2 linked regions of the Drosophila melanogaster genome follow. The protein of the gene in region 1 purifies or fractionates together with the protein of each later gene. This does not show direct contact. Each region holds a gene or a part of one and is shown on either strand. Other genes may lie near its edges.

Region 1 (7,839 bases):
TTTCAATAGATGGAAAGCATACGAATTTATAATGGGTATCCGTATCCGTATCTGCATCCGTATCCATATCCGTATCTGTATCCGTATCCCCAATTCGGTTGCGTTCTCCACCTGCCGCGTTGCCTGGCCAATTTAAAACAATTTCCGAGCCAATTATGAAAATGAATTATTGTTTGTTAAGTTTTATTTTATAAGACGGCGCTGCACTGACCGAAGGGATATTTTGAGAGTATAACCCAATTTAATCAAATTTCGCAGCAATTATTTTGTTTTTTATGTTTACAATTTGTGTTTTACGTTTTAGTGCAATTTTTTGGCATACATACATATTTATACAGATATTTTTGTATTCTTTTCGCAGCGTTCTAAATGAGTCATTCTAGTTTTTATTAGTTGAATTTATAAACACAAAATTACTTAACGGAAATTTCAAGCGTAACCCGTTGATTTCCTATCAACTCGATAATATGTATCTATAAAATATAATTTAGCTATTTCTACGTATGTCTGTGCATGTGTGTATAAATCAAGCGGGCGAAGTTGTGCAATTGTTAGAAAATTTTTAAAAGAAAGATATTTAGTAAAAATACGAAAATCAGAAATCGATGTTGAAAAACAAAACGCTCGTGCAATGACAAACAAAATTTTATTAATAAAGCGTTAAACAAACAAATTAAAGACAACATGAAATATACATTATGATATATTTATATATACAAGTATGAATAATGTACGACTATTTACTATTTTTTGGCTATAGCATTTTAAACGCATATATTGTATGTTTAACGTTGAAAATGGAAAAAACAAACAAAACAAGAAAATACATCAAAAAAAATTGTAAAACTTTTATGATTGGTTGCTGTAATTTGGCAAAAGTAAAAGTGCAATTCCAAATAAAATTCAAACAACCATACAAACAGCAGGAATCTGGGTCTTTTATTTATTTATTATCTATGGAAAAACAATACTTTTTCTGGAATGTAAAACTATTTTTCACTTAAAGGCGGAAAAATAAAAATAATGCTTTCTAGCAGTGGTGATTAAATTTATTGATTCTTACTGATGTCTTCTTCCAAAATAAAATTTAAAAAAAAAAACTAGTAAATTAAAATTTTTTTCCTATTTTAAACTTCCCCGATAATCAGATGCCAGTTACTCAACTATTGGAAATGCGAACGCAAATTAGATATTGGTGAATAAAATAAGAAAAAAAATTAAAATTGTTAAAAATTGTAAGCGTGGCTTTTCGGCGGTTTGTGGGAGTAATAGTAGTTTGGCAGATCAATAGAAATTTACAAGACTAATCAAAATATGAAAAATATCACATTTTGCATAACTGTGGGCGTGGCAATTTAAAGTTTTTTGGCAGATCGATGGAAATTTACAAGACTAATAAAAATATGAAAAATGTCAAAACATTTTGAAAATGTGCGTGGGAAGTTTTGGGGGCTTTCCGTAATCTCAATTTTCTAGCTTCTTATTCATCCTGAGATCTCGACGTTCGTACGGACTGACAGATGGACGGAAAGACGGACATGGCTAGATCGACTCGGCTATTGGTCCTTATATATATAATATATATAATATATTATAATATATATAATTTATTAGGTCGAAATCGGTTTCTTTTGCCGGATACATGCTTTTCAACGAATATAGCATACATTTGACTCAACAAGCAACATGTATACAAAACATGTATAAAAATATACAAATATAAATAGAGTCCCCACTTGAATGGCCCGCCTAGTCCGTATGTTCCTATCAATAATCGATAACAGAAAACACTTTAGCTGTGCCGCTCAATAACTTATCGCCCACCCCTAAGGCCTCCCATCACTAAAAAAGACTGTGACGCATTAAAAAATCGTCTATTAAAAGTCGTCAGTTAACTCGAAACCCTCAAAAGTAAATCATGGGAAAAAAAGATAGTGAGTTGTCCCACCTGCAGGACCATACAGCTATTCAAATATATGCACTTTCCAATTACCACCCCAGAGAACAAGAAAGGAGGACAGGATAGCGCTGCAGCACCACAGCCCCAGCAGCAGCAAAAGCAACAACAACAACGGCAGCAACAACCACAGCAGCTGCAACAACCACAGCAGCTGCAACAACCACAGCAGCTGCAACAACCACAGCAGCAGCAACAACAACAACCGCATCAGCAACAACAACAAAGTAAGTGCAAAGTGCGATATATCGGCGTAGGCAAAAAATAGATGTATGCATGCATGTACATACATATGTTTTGTACATATGGATTTACCATTTGCAATCAAATGCTCCATAAACTTTCGAAATGCCTGGGAATTCCCGAATTCGTGGCAGCCATGATGAAATTCAACTGCCATGGTTGTATAGAACCTATGTATGTGTGTATTATACTTAAAGGTGAATTCTACTGTATATAACAGTTATTGAATTTCCCCTTAACATAACTAAATTAAAATTCCTTTATATTTAAAAAAATGAATTTTGCTATGAAATGTAACAGTTGTGCTTTAGGCAGAAGCATCAAACAATTAAGAATTAAAATCTGCTCAAATCTGTAAATCTTAATCTTAATTTATACCAGATCCGACATTTTAACTCAATTATAAACTTATTAAAAATCTGAAAGATGAAGCGAAATTGAACATTTGACATCAATATATCTTTACATTTAAGGTTATGTACATACAGTTTGTCAAGAAACTGTTTACACACTGTGAAATAAGTTGAATTTTTGACTTTAAAGCTAAAAATAAAGGGTTTTTTGCTTAATTAAACGCAATTTTTTTATAAAATATAATTAAACAATATTTATTTTACTTATAAATAAAAAACAAATTAAAAATATTAAATATACAAGAAAATAAACAACAAATTCCAGGTTTACACACTTTTGAGACTGTCAAGAAACTCTTTACACATTTTGTTTTCCTACTTTGTTTTGTTCTTTTTCTTAGAACGAACTCGATTTTTCCGTTATTTTTGGCTTCGCATTGCTTTTTACAACGCTTCTATTGAAATTTGTTGACTTTGCTTGTGAAATTTTGCTGATCAAACGTGCTTAAAGCGAATTATTAAATTTAATAAAATGCCTGGAAAGAGATTAACTTTTGAAGTTACCCAATTAATAAACTATAACCACCAGTTGGGAAAATCTTTTCCAGAATTAGTATAAATGTTTCCTGTATCCCGTAAGACCGTCTACAATGTTTTAAAAGGCTCGGAAAAAGAGGGCAGGCTTGAACCTAAGAGTGGTGGTGGACGGAAAATTAAAATTAAAAAGCGTGTAGACCGCTTTATTATGCGAATAGTGATTGCGAACCCCCGAATCTCGGTCAGATCACTTGCTCTGGATATCAGGCAAGAATGCCACCTAACTGTGTCACACGAAACTGTGCGCCAAGTCATCCTACGCCATAGGTACTCTTCAAGATTTGCAAGGAAAAACCCTTTGCTATCAGATGCCAATATGGAAAAGCGTCATTAATTCGCTGTGAGCATGATGGATCATGCGGAAGAGTACTGGGATGACGTCATATTTTGTGACGAAACAAAAATGATGCTCTTTTATAACGACGGGCCAAGCAGAGTATGGCGCAAACCGTTGAGTGCGCTAGAAAAACAAAATATCATTCCAACGATAAAATTTGGAAAAATGTCACTGATGATGTGGGGCTGTATCACCAGCCGTGGAGTGGGAAAACTAGCCTTAATTGAGAGCACAATAAATGCCGTGCAATATCTAGAAATGTTAAAAAACAAATTTGAAGGCCAGTGTAGAAAAAATTAGTCTGGTTAGCAACAACAAGCCAAATTTTAAGTTTTACCAGGACATGATCAGAAACATAAAGAGTGCAATGTACGCACCTGGCGCCTTAATAACTGTGGTAAAGTGATCGATACGCCCCCTCAGAGTCCTGATCTGAACCCCATTGAAAATTTGTGGACCTACTTAAAGAAGAAGGTGGCAAAAAGGGACCTAAAACACAACAACAGCTTATGACTGTAATAGTCGAAGAGTGTGAAAAGATCCCGTTTGAATATGACCTGCAAAAACTTGTCCAATCCATGAAAAAAAGGCTTCAACTTGTAGCTAAAGCCAATGGGGAACATACTACATACCAAAACTTTTAAAATTTTAATAAAATAATTAAAAAATTTAGGATTAAACTTCGATTTAGTGTTTTGTGTAAAGAGTTTCTTGACAGTCTCAAAAGTGTGTAAACTTGGAATTTGTTGTTTATTTTCTTGTATATTTAATATTTTTAATTTGTTTTTTGATTTATAAGTAAAATTAATATTGTTTAATTATATTTTATAAAAAAATTGCGTTTAATTAAGCAAAAAACCCTTTATTTTTAGCTTTAAAATCAAAAATTCAACTTATTTCACAGTGTGTAAACAGTTTCTTGACAAACTGTATGTATTTTAAAGTGATACAAATTATTTTCGCGTTAGCAAATTCAAATCAGCCAAGTGAATACTTTTCGAAGAGTTTGCTTGCAGTTTTTTCGAAACCTAACACCTATTGTAATAAACATTCTTTGTCGATTTCTAAATCTAGGTTCGAGACAACAGCCATCCACAAGCTCAGGCGGATCCCGTGCATCTGGGTTCCAGCAAGGAGGCCAACAGCAAAAATCCCAAGACGCAGAAGGATGGACTGCACAGAAAAAACAAGGCAAACAGCAGGTACAAGGGTGGACTAAACAAGGTCAACAAGGTGGCCATCAGCAAGGACGACAAGGGCAAGACGGTGGCTACCAACAGCGTCCGCCTGGACAACAACAAGGTGGCCATCAGCAAGGACGACAAGGGCAAGAAGGTGGCTACCAACAGCGTCCGCCTGGACAACAACAAGGTGGCCATCAGCAAGGACGACAAGGGCAAGAAGGTGGCTACCAACAGCGTCCGTCTGGACAACAACAAGGTGGCCATCAGCAAGGACGACAAGGGCAAGAAGGTGGCTACCAACAGCGTCCGCCTGGACAACAACAAGGTGGCCATCAGCAAGGACGACAAGGGCAAGAAGGTGGCTACCAACAGCGTCCGTCTGGACAACAACAAGGTGGCCATCAGCAAGGACGACAAGGGCAAGAAGGTGGCTACCAACAGCGTCCGCCTGGACAACAACAAGGTGGCCATCAGCAAGGACGACAAGGGCAAGAAGGTGGCTACCAACAGCGTCCGCCTGGACAACAACAAGGTGGCCATGAGCAAGGACGACAAGGGCAAGAAGGTGGCTACCAACAGCGTCCGTCTGGACAACAACAAGGTGGCCATCAGCAAGGACGACAAGGGCAAGAAGGTGGCTACCAACAGCGTCCGTCTGGACAACAACAAGGTGGCCATCAGCAAGGACGACAAGGGCAAGAAGGTGGCTACCAACAGCGTCCGTCTGGACAACAACAAGGTGGCCATCAGCAAGGACGACAAGGGCAAGAAGGTGGCTACCAACAGCGTCCGCCTGGACAACAACCAAACCAAACCCAGAGCCAAGGCCAATACCAATCTCGTGGACCACCTCAGCAACAGCAGGCTGCCCCATTACCATTACCGCCTCAGCCAGCCGGGAGCATTAAGCGCGGAACAATCGGCAAACCCGGGCAAGTAGGCATCAACTATCTGGACCTTGACCTGTCCAAAATGCCTTCTGTGGCATACCACTATGACGTGAAGATCATGCCAGAGCGTCCCAAAAAGTTTTACAGACAGGCATTTGAACAATTTCGGGTGGACCAATTGGGCGGAGCAGTTCTTGCCTATGATGGCAAAGCCTCTTGCTACTCGGTGGATAAGCTGCCGTTAAATAGCCAAAATCCGGAAGTGACTGTAAGTTGCAAGAAATTGTCTACTAAGTTATGAACAACTGGGAGTAATAACATTTTTAAATGTATACAGTGGCAGTTAAATTTAATTTAATCTATACGATATTTTAGTTGTTTTTATTTCTTATTATTTTAGGTGACAGATCGTAATGGTCGTACTTTGCGCTACACGATCGAAATCAAGGAGACTGGTGACTCGACCATTGACCTTAAATCGTTAACTACGTAAATATAAATTATGTTTTTTATGGATACTCCTATTGAACGCGCTCCTCTGCAGTTATATGAATGACCGAATTTTCGACAAGCCCATGCGAGCAATGCAGTGCGTGGAGGTTGTTTTGGCTTCACCCTGCCACAACAAAGCCATCCGTGTCGGTCGTTCCTTCTTTAAGATGTCCGATCCTAATAATCGTCACGAACTGGATGATGGATACGAGGCCCTGGTCGGTCTGTATCAGGCATTTATGCTGGGCGATAGGCCATTTTTAAATGTAGATATATCGCACAAATCCTTTCCGATTTCAATGCCGATGATCGAATATTTGGAGCGATTTAGCTTAAAGGCTAAAATCAACAATACAACGAATTTAGATTATTCGCGACGCTTCCTTGAGCCATTCCTCAGAGGCATTAATGTGGTTTACACGCCTCCTCAGTCGTTTCAAAGCGCTCCAAGGGTATACCGTGTAAATGGTCTTTCTCGTGCCCCGGCCAGCAGTGAGACCTTCGAACACGATGGGAAGAAGGTCACCATTGCGTCCTACTTCCACAGTCGCAACTACCCATTGAAGTTTCCCCAACTCCATTGTCTGAACGTTGGATCTTCAATCAAGAGTATTCTGCTGCCCATCGAGCTATGCAGCATCGAGGAAGGTCAGGCCCTAAACGTGAGTTCACTAAATTCCTTTATATCTATATCTTGGTGTTCAATACCGTAAGCTATATTGTCATTACATATACCTATAAACATATGTATTTCACAGCGCAAGGATGGAGCAACTCAGGTGGCCAATATGATAAAGTACGCAGCCACATCGACGAACGTGCGAAAGCGCAAGATTATGAACTTGCTGCAATACTTCCAGCACAACCTGGATCCGACCATCAGTCGCTTTGGCATCCGCATTGCCAACGATTTTATTGTGGTAAGCACCCGCGTCCTAAGCCCACCTCAGGTTGAATATCATAGTAAGAGGTTTACTATGGTGAAGAACGGGTCGTGGCGCATGGATGGCATGAAGTTTCTGGAGCCCAAGCCCAAGGCGCACAAGTGTGCGGTCTTGTATTGCGATCCGAGGAGTGGTCGCAAAATGAACTATACCCAGCTGAATGACTTCGGGAACCTAATAATATCCCAAGGCAAGGCAGTCAACATAAGCTTGGATTCTGATGTGACATACAGACCGTTCACGGATGACGAACGCAGCCTAGACACTATTTTCGCGGATCTGAAGCGCAGCCAGCACGATCTGGCAATTGTGATTATTCCTCAGTTTAGAATTTCTTACGATACAATTAAGCAGAAGGCCGAGCTGCAGCATGGAATTTTGACGCAATGCATTAAGCAGTTCACCGTGGAACGAAAGTGTAATAATCAGACGATTGGAAATATTCTACTTAAGATCAACTCCAAGCTGAACGGCATCAACCACAAGATCAAGGATGATCCTCGTCTGCCGATGATGAAGAACACCATGTACATTGGAGCCGATGTGACCCATCCCTCTCCCGATCAGCGCGAGATTCCCAGTGTGGTCGGAGTAGCAGCCTCACACGATCCCTACGGAGCCAGTTATAACATGCAATATCGTTTGCAGCGAGGGGCTCTGGAGGAGATTGAGGACATGTTCTCGATTACTTTGGAGCACTTGCGCGTGTATAAAGAGTACCGTAACGCCTATCCTGATCATATCATCTACTACCGAGATGGCGTGAGCGACGGCCAGTTTCCGAAAATCAAAAACGAGGAACTGAGGTGTATTAAACAAGCCTGTGACAAGGTAAGTTTTTG
Region 2 (7,783 bases), on another chromosome or scaffold:
TTTCTTTTAGTTTTTAAAAAGTTTGTTGTCTGTGATATACGTAATTTATAAGTTTTCATTTTGGTAACTTGCTGCTTTCATTCACCATCGTCAGTAACCAAAACTGCAATTTGAGGAACCTACTCCTGCCCAAAACGATCGATTTAAGCCAGAGTGGGAAACTGACGCTCATCGTTGACCTTGGGAGCGGTGTTCTGTTGTCGCTCAAAACGCTTATTCGGCCCTGGACCGCTGTTCTGATTGTTGTTCTGGTTGTTTCCCGGACCGCGACGATCGATGGGTGGCCTTTGATTTTGAGCGGATGAACCGCCGCCCTCGTTATTATGCTGCTGGCCATCCCGTGGGCCACGGTTTCCACCCTCACGATTATCTCGGCCGCCCTCACGATTGCCGCCATCGCGGTTGCCACCCTCGCTGCGTGGTCCGCCTCCAAATCCACCGGGTCTGGGGCCTCCACGGCCACCGCGTCCACCGAAACCGCCAGGTCCGCCACGACGACCATCGTTGAAATTGAACTGAATGTCCAGGACGCGCTGTTGCCTGCCCACACGCTGTGGATAAAGGGCAGGGTCGTACTCGAGCTCCTCTTCGCTGTCGTTCTCCTTCTTCTTGTTGCTAGTTAGGACGACCATTTTCTTCCATTGTGTGGTGTCCTCACCTGCGGGAAATATTGATTGTAGATTAATTTCTAGATGATAGGCCATCATTTAGAGTTAAGCTAAGATCGGTTTGATTTTCAATTTTATACTTCTTTTATACGGATTTTAGCTCAATATGATTTGTAACTTTGGTTGTTGGCTTGGCGAAAAGGTTTCTTAGAATAACGGAAGTTAAACTATCATTCCGTGGTATCGAATTCAAATTATTAACCATAAAAAAATTATGCATTGTTCACGCACCTTCTCCAGCCTTGCGGATATTAAAGGTTGGCTTGATGCGCTGTCCTTGCTGTGCCTTCCACTCGTCCAAGGTCAGCTCTTTGGCTTCCTCCTCGGCGGTAGCCTGCTCGTTTTGTGGTTCAGTGCCAGATTCATCGGCCTTGGCGCCGCCCTCGGCATTGGTCACATTGGTTTCGCTTTCGTTCTTGTTCACATCATCAATAGCCTCCTTGACCGATCCCCAGTTGTGGGAGCCAGCTCCATCGCGTTTGTCAATTGACTTCACACCTGTGCATAAAGAAAGTATCAAATATTAATAATGATTTATGTCTGCTTAAATTCAGAAACGTCAAGAAGCGGAAAATCTGAGCTTCTATATTTGCAAATTTTAGCCACAGCTATAGTGCAACTTGCCTGCAAGCCCTAAAGTAAGTTTTTCTGCTTAATTTATTAACTGAATACTTTAATTATTAGCCAAATAATGGTCTATTTTATCAATACCCCACTAATTAGGTCAATTGAGAAGTAACCACGATAGGGGGACTATATTCACTGCCCTCGCTCGCATAGTCACAGATAAGCCGACAGTAGCAGCCCCAGTTCACTGTAATCAGATTCAGTGGGGGAACTATTCCAACCCCTGTTTCCCCCCAATGATTATGCCTGCAAAGGCCTCCTACAAGCACTTGCGTTAGACGGGAATGCCGCCAAGAAGATGGGCGAACTATTTTTAACACATTTTCTCTTTCGATTTGTGCCGCAGTGCTTCTTGTTTCTGTTGCTGCCGGCCGCTGTGATATTATAATTTTGGATATTCCAAAAACGAAGCGGTCGGTCTAAGCAGGCAGTGGAAAACGGGGGAAAACGCGGCGAAATAGATTTCATTCAATGGAAAGAAGTGTGATGTAGCTTGTTGAATGTTCTGTCCGACCATTAGTATTGATTTGACTCACTTATCCCCCACGTGAGTGGGAGATTTGCCTGTGTTGTTTGACCATTGCCCATAAGTTCATCGGGATTTTGTGTGCCACAAATTGGTTTACACCGTTCTCCCGCACTTTTCGTGAAATTGCTTGGCATAAACAATATATATTTAAACTGATTTATAATGCAACTGTTTAAATATTACTATCCATTAAATAAGATTGGCAATCTGCTCGGAGCAGGCTAATAAATATTTTATACTTTGAAATACATTAAATTCATGATTTAGATTAGCTATAGAAATCTTAAATCAATTGATGGAAATTTCACATAGTTTATTAAAAGGAATCGCATTTCAAACACCGAACGAATTCCAGTTTCTTTTAAATATTTGTTGTGTACACAGAAGATTGGAATCATGTTGCTTGAAGGCGACTAATAATTTCTCATGACTATAAACATGGTAATTGGTTACGCGTAAACTGTGGATGGAATTTGTTTTTCCTGCGTTGCCTGCTGAGTTTTATTTTCTGGTTGTCATGGAGTGTGGCTTTTGGTTTATTTGTTAATTTTTTCGTATGGGCGCGCTCGTTTTATGGTTATGTCTACCCCTTGGTGGTTCAACTTTAGTTTCGATCTTATCAACAGAAACATTAACTATTCATATGCGAAAAAATGGTCATTAATCTAAACGATTTACTCCCTAAATATCCCATCTTCTCTATCCTTTTTACTAAGTATACTTCTCTGTAAAGACTTTAATGTGATCTACACTGTATCTACTTGACTTGACCCCTAACCCATTTGGTACCTTAATGCCTTAATGAAATGACCACACACTCACCAGTTCTATCGGAACCCGACTGGCGGTCGAACTCGCGCTTCCTGTTCTGGCCATCGTAGTTGCGGTTCTGACGCTGGGGACGATCTCCGCCAGCACCTGGGCCTCCACCTGGTCCGCGGTAAGGTCGCGACTGCTGGCCATCGGGTGCTCCGACGTTTTCGCGGACATTGCGGCGATTGTTGCGCTGCTCACGAGTCTCGGCATTGCCATTCTGTTGACGGAAGTTTACGCTGCGCTGCTGCTGGCCACCTTGTCCTTGACCCTGTCCTTGACCGCTACCAAATTCACGTGTTCGGTTGGCGCCACCTCCTTGCCGTGGAGCACCCTGTTGTTTGTAATTGCTGCTGGCGTTATTATTGAACTGCTGCTGTTTGTTGTCGGCCGATGGAGTGAACTTCTTGCCATCGGTTTTGTTTAACGCATTATTGGGCTTGTTCTCCTTTTCGGCCTGATTTGGTTTCTTGGCATTGGGTCCACCAATATTGGATCCTGCGTTCGCCTTGTTATTGCTGTTGGCCACCTTGTTGGCGGTCGTTTTGGTGGCCGCTGCAGCAGCAGCTGACGGTTGCTTCTTCTTGCCAGCTGCTGCTGCGGCAGCAGCGGCCGTCGGCGCCACAAGATTATCTAATGGATCGCTGACATCGTCGTCCATGAACAAAAGTTCATAACGATTTTTACCGGCGCTGTCCATGATTTTGTGGGTGGGTGTGTTTTTCGTTGCTAGCTGGCTGCCGCTTTAATTGCCTTTTTGCTCTGTAAAAAGAAATAAATACACACAGTTTTAGTGGGAATTGATTGATTTTCCTTTTTCGCCCGCCGCCTCTCACACCCTGTGAGATTCGATAGGATTTCTTTTTCGTGTCACAAACTATGGTCTAATATGGCATATATTCGCTGGATTTATGGTTTACGACATTAACACGTGGACTAACGTGAATTTACTCAATTTATTTAGGCCCTTTGGGTGGATTTTTCTTACTTTTCTGCTGGCTGTTTGGTGGCTGCTGCTCTCTAACCTTAATTTTCAGTGTTTCTTCTTCGCCTCGCTGCTAGTATTACCTACACACACTGCCTCACGCGATTCCACACGCACATGGGCCAAATCACGCACACCACAGTCAGCACGAACAGAGCGCCCACATGTGTTCTTGGTATACATAGAAAAACAGAAACTCACGTTTTTCAACGCGTTTCGCGGCGAATGTCGCAAATCGATTCGAATGGCAGCTGTGTTTAGCGGGCTCTCGATTTGGCGGGCACTTTTTAGTTTGAAGTGCAAGCCAATTTCATTAGTTGGAGAATATGTGAAAAATTGAGCAAATTATATAAATTGGTACAAAATGTTGGAGCATATATTATAAGAATTCATAATTCAATACTTTAGAAATGAACGTATTAAGTTATTGCTTTTATACTTATATAGAATTAATTTTTTTTTCTTTCAGCCAAATTAAAAAAAAAATATCAATATGTCTGACGACTGGGATGATGAGGTTCGTATTGCTTCGTACAAAGAATATATGCTTACTAAGCCTATCTATTTTAGCCCATTGTTGATACTCGCGGCGCCCGCGGTGGAGATTGGAGCGATGATGAGGACACGGCCAAGAGCTTCAGCGGCGAAGCTGAAGGCGATGGTGTTGGAGGGAGCGGTGGTGAAGGCGGCGGCTACCAAGGAGGAAATCGAGATGTGTTCGGAAGGATCGGCGGAGGCAGAGGAGGAGGAGCTGGAGGTTATCGAGGAGGAAATCGAGATGGAGGGGGCTTCCACGGTGGACGTCGCGAGGGAGAAAGGGACTTCCGCGGTGGAGAAGGCGGCTTCCGCGGTGGACAAGGCGGCTCCCGCGGTGGACAAGGCGGCTCCCGCGGGGGACAAGGCGGCTTCCGTGGTGGAGAAGGCGGCTTCCGCGGTCGGCTGTACGAAAACGAGGATGGTGAGTAAACCTTTTGGACGACATGTTAAATTTTGGGTTATGGTCATTTGAGTCATTCCTGCTGAATTCCATGTGGTGTGCTTTGTTTTGTCAAGTAGTTTGTTTTCTTTTGTTTTGTGTATGCATATTTGCCCAATTGGTGGCAAATTGGCCAACATTCTAGCTAAGGAACTGCCGCCGATCCCATCTAGCTGCGATAAGGATGAGGTGGGCGCATTCATCGATCAGCTGGACTTGAGCAAGTACACGACCAGCCTAGCACTGATTCGAAAATTGCGTGACTACTTGCTGACTGCATTTAAGGCTTTGGTGAACCAAGCATGGGCTTCTCTCGAGAAATTAGCTCAAGAAAAGCGTGCACAAAAGGCACATCAGATACGCGAAACAACAGATATGATGAATCGCCTTATGGAGGACATGGGCCGATTGATTCGTGAAGGTGAACATGAGGAAGCAAATGGGATTGGGATGGGATTTCAAAGCATTGATGCGGATTGCAGAGCTGATTTGTCGCAATGGAGGAATTTACAGCAAGTTGTGATGCCGCAATCTTCGGAGATCAGAGATGGACAAACAAACAGGACAAGCGGTACTGAGGGCGGTCGATCAGGAGGTTTAACCGATGGCGATGACTTAACCGAAATACAAAGCGCCGCATACGCCGTGTATCATCAGGTTTTGGATCGAGGTTACCAAACGGGTCGACGGCTGTATGATGATAATCAAGGAGCATTGAGAGAAGATTCTATTCCAACAGAAGACCGAGAACACCCAGAAAATAATCAAGTGGATGGATCAACATATGGAGTGACTAGATTTCTGCACTGGCTAAGTGAGAACTTTGTCACTCGGCATGAAATAAGGGCCGTACGTTTTGGCAGTCCGCATATGGTTTTTCAATCTTATGACTGGCCAGAGTCTCCAAAGCAGCACATTTCGACGGTCCATCAAAAAGGCATATTTTATTCTCAGCCCTTAATTAGGACACGCATAATAGCCACTGTTGCGAGCGAGCCAAACAATTCGAGTAGTGGTCAGCTCAGCAGTATGGTAAACTTGGCACGACATCAGCGGTCGCAAAATCAGGAAACGCCAGATGGAATTTACGTTAGTCGCTACAATGCAACTGGAGATGAGGAGACTCCCTGCTCCGCAACCGGAGTCCCCGGCAGAGTTGTGGCTCTGCGTGCTTCGAGCACCCCAAATGAACATAGGAGCGATCCAGGGTACTTAAACCAACTCTAACTAGTCTAGTCTAGCGCTTTTCTTTCTTACCATCTATGGATACTTTTTATTCCCTTTTTCCAATGAGCGGTTGTGTAGAAAAGAGCAGATTTCAAACATTTAAAGATTACATAAAAGAAAAAAAAAAACACCAAATTTAGCCAGACACCGAAACAATTTATAGGAAATTTGATTAGAGAAGTACCTTAATGCAGTATAAATTCAGCTTACTTTTCTATATGTACATATTTTCCATCTCTTCGCTTACTTTCGTTTCCTTCTCTATAACTTAAATGAACACATAAGCTAAGTAATGTCCGTTTCACAGCTTGTCTTTTATACCCAATTTGACTTACGAAGATGGGACCATACCATCATTGGCAGCAGGCGGCGCTGCATCGACACCGTTGGCTCCATCACTGCCAGCAGAGCATTCATTGGGGTTAGAAATGGATAGCAACACTTTGGTGGTACCAGCTGATGCGGATGAAACCCGCTTAGTCGGACATCCAGGATCAACAGTGGTTCGTTCTCGGCTTGGAGGCCCTCCAGCATCAACACCTTTACTATCATTCCGACCTAGACTGCCGGTCATTGACGAAGAGCATCATCTACGCTTTACCAGGGTGTCACGCGAGCTGCAAATGAGTGTTGCTTTCCCGCCGGAAGAGACAACACTAAGCGAGCAACGTGAGTGGGGCTCGATTTTCCGACCACGTGATGAAATGGTTAACTATGCCGAAGGTCCACCTCCTCGCCAAACACAAAGGGCGCGTCGTCGCTCGCGTACACGCAGACGACGTAATCGTATCGCTTCAGCTGCCAGCCCGCAACTAACACCGGAACGAATTGTCCGTCGCGAGGAAGCCTTCCAAAGCAGCCGACATATTGCAGCCACTTTTATGTCCAGCTTGCTACAAAATGCAGCTGGAGAAGTGACGACGTCTTCAGGTCTGGCAGTAACCCGTTCAGTGAAAGAAATAACGACATCAGTCCATATCACCCGAAATGTACTACAAGAGGAGGTACCACCGACCACAGAAGCAACGACGACCTCCCTAGAAGTTGCACAGGCAACAGGGTATTCGGATTCTGGGGCTTGTATGCAATCTGCAGCGTTCTCTCAAGATCTTCCTGTAGTAGCTCCCTTGGAGATATCTGGAAATGCATCAAGTGACCAAGCATCATTTGATCAAGCTTTGGCCTTACTGCCTCCCATAAATTCCACTCCAATAGGTCAGCATCCAATTGCTGTTTTCGGACCTAAAACCGAAATTGAAATTAAACCCCAAAAAATGGACATCTCTAATATGATGAATACATCGGTTCCACCAATGCCAATGGAAGTCGACGAAGTTCCACTGGAGGTATCAAACACTTTGGCCAATATGAGCGATCACGCTTATGTGACTGATATACAGATACTACCGTCGTTGCAACTCAATTCTTTGAATCTTGTTAGCACCAATATTACAGACAATGCAGTAAATATCGCCCCATCGACATCAACAAATGATTTGCAAACGCCAAGTGACCGCAGAACATCAATGCAAAATCAACTATATCGAGTGTCCATGAACGATTTGGCATATATTTCACAACACGCTAATGTGGTTCGTCTGATGGTAGATCGTCAAGAGGAACTAGGGGCACAGGTCAGCTCCCTGGGGCCTTTTAAGGAAAATAGCCAAGGCGCGCTAAATTTTAGTACAATGCCCGCTGTCAAAGTCTACGATCCACGTATAATTCAGAACATTCAGAAGGATAAGATGAGAGTAGTTCATGGGCTCTTCGGTGCTCTTATCAGACAGTCCCAGGTTGATATGCACAATGCACCATTCATCCGAAATCGCAAGGATGCGTTGATGGCATATCGCTTTTTACTCGAGCTTAAGACTGCAAATATTATAAGTCTTAGCTCGGATGGTAGATTTTTCGGGCTGCTCTAATCAAATAAAAAGCATTTTAATTTTAAAAAT

The links.
Region 2: the proteins of AGO2 (region 1) and vig purify together in Drosophila melanogaster (affinity purification with western blotting; 3 studies listed by BioGRID, with this or other methods). This does not show direct contact.

The regions. Positions count from the first base shown.
Region 1 is NT_037436.4:15,552,289-15,560,127, forward strand, and holds the start of AGO2 (argonaute 2), read left to right. Parts: upstream 1-1,824; 5' UTR 1,825-1,918; coding exon of another isoform or gene 1,919-1,934; 5' UTR 1,935-1,976; coding exon 1,977-2,184; intron 2,185-4,534; exon of another isoform or gene 4,535-4,561; coding exon 4,562-5,829; intron 5,830-5,961; coding exon 5,962-6,050; intron 6,051-6,105; coding exon 6,106-6,715; intron 6,716-6,811; coding exon 6,812-7,828; intron 7,829-7,839. UniProt on the Drosophila melanogaster protein: Essential for RNA interference (RNAi); double-stranded RNA induces potent and specific gene silencing.
Region 2 is NT_033779.5:15,064,291-15,072,073, forward strand, and holds the start of vig (vasa intronic gene), read right to left. Parts: upstream 6,027-7,783; 5' UTR 5,856-6,026; intron 5,807-5,855; coding exon of another isoform or gene 4,744-5,806; intron 4,581-4,743; coding exon of another isoform or gene 4,193-4,580; intron 4,140-4,192; coding exon of another isoform or gene 4,116-4,139; exon of another isoform or gene 4,092-4,115; intron 3,789-4,091; exon of another isoform or gene 3,626-3,788; intron 3,400-3,625; 5' UTR 3,338-3,399; coding exon 2,647-3,337; intron 1,167-2,646; coding exon 900-1,166; intron 659-899; coding exon 144-658; 3' UTR 1-143. Other genes in the region: solo (sisters on the loose), read left to right, coding at 4,116-4,139, 4,193-4,580, 4,744-5,806, 6,133-7,753; vas (vasa), read left to right, coding at 4,116-4,139, 4,193-4,580.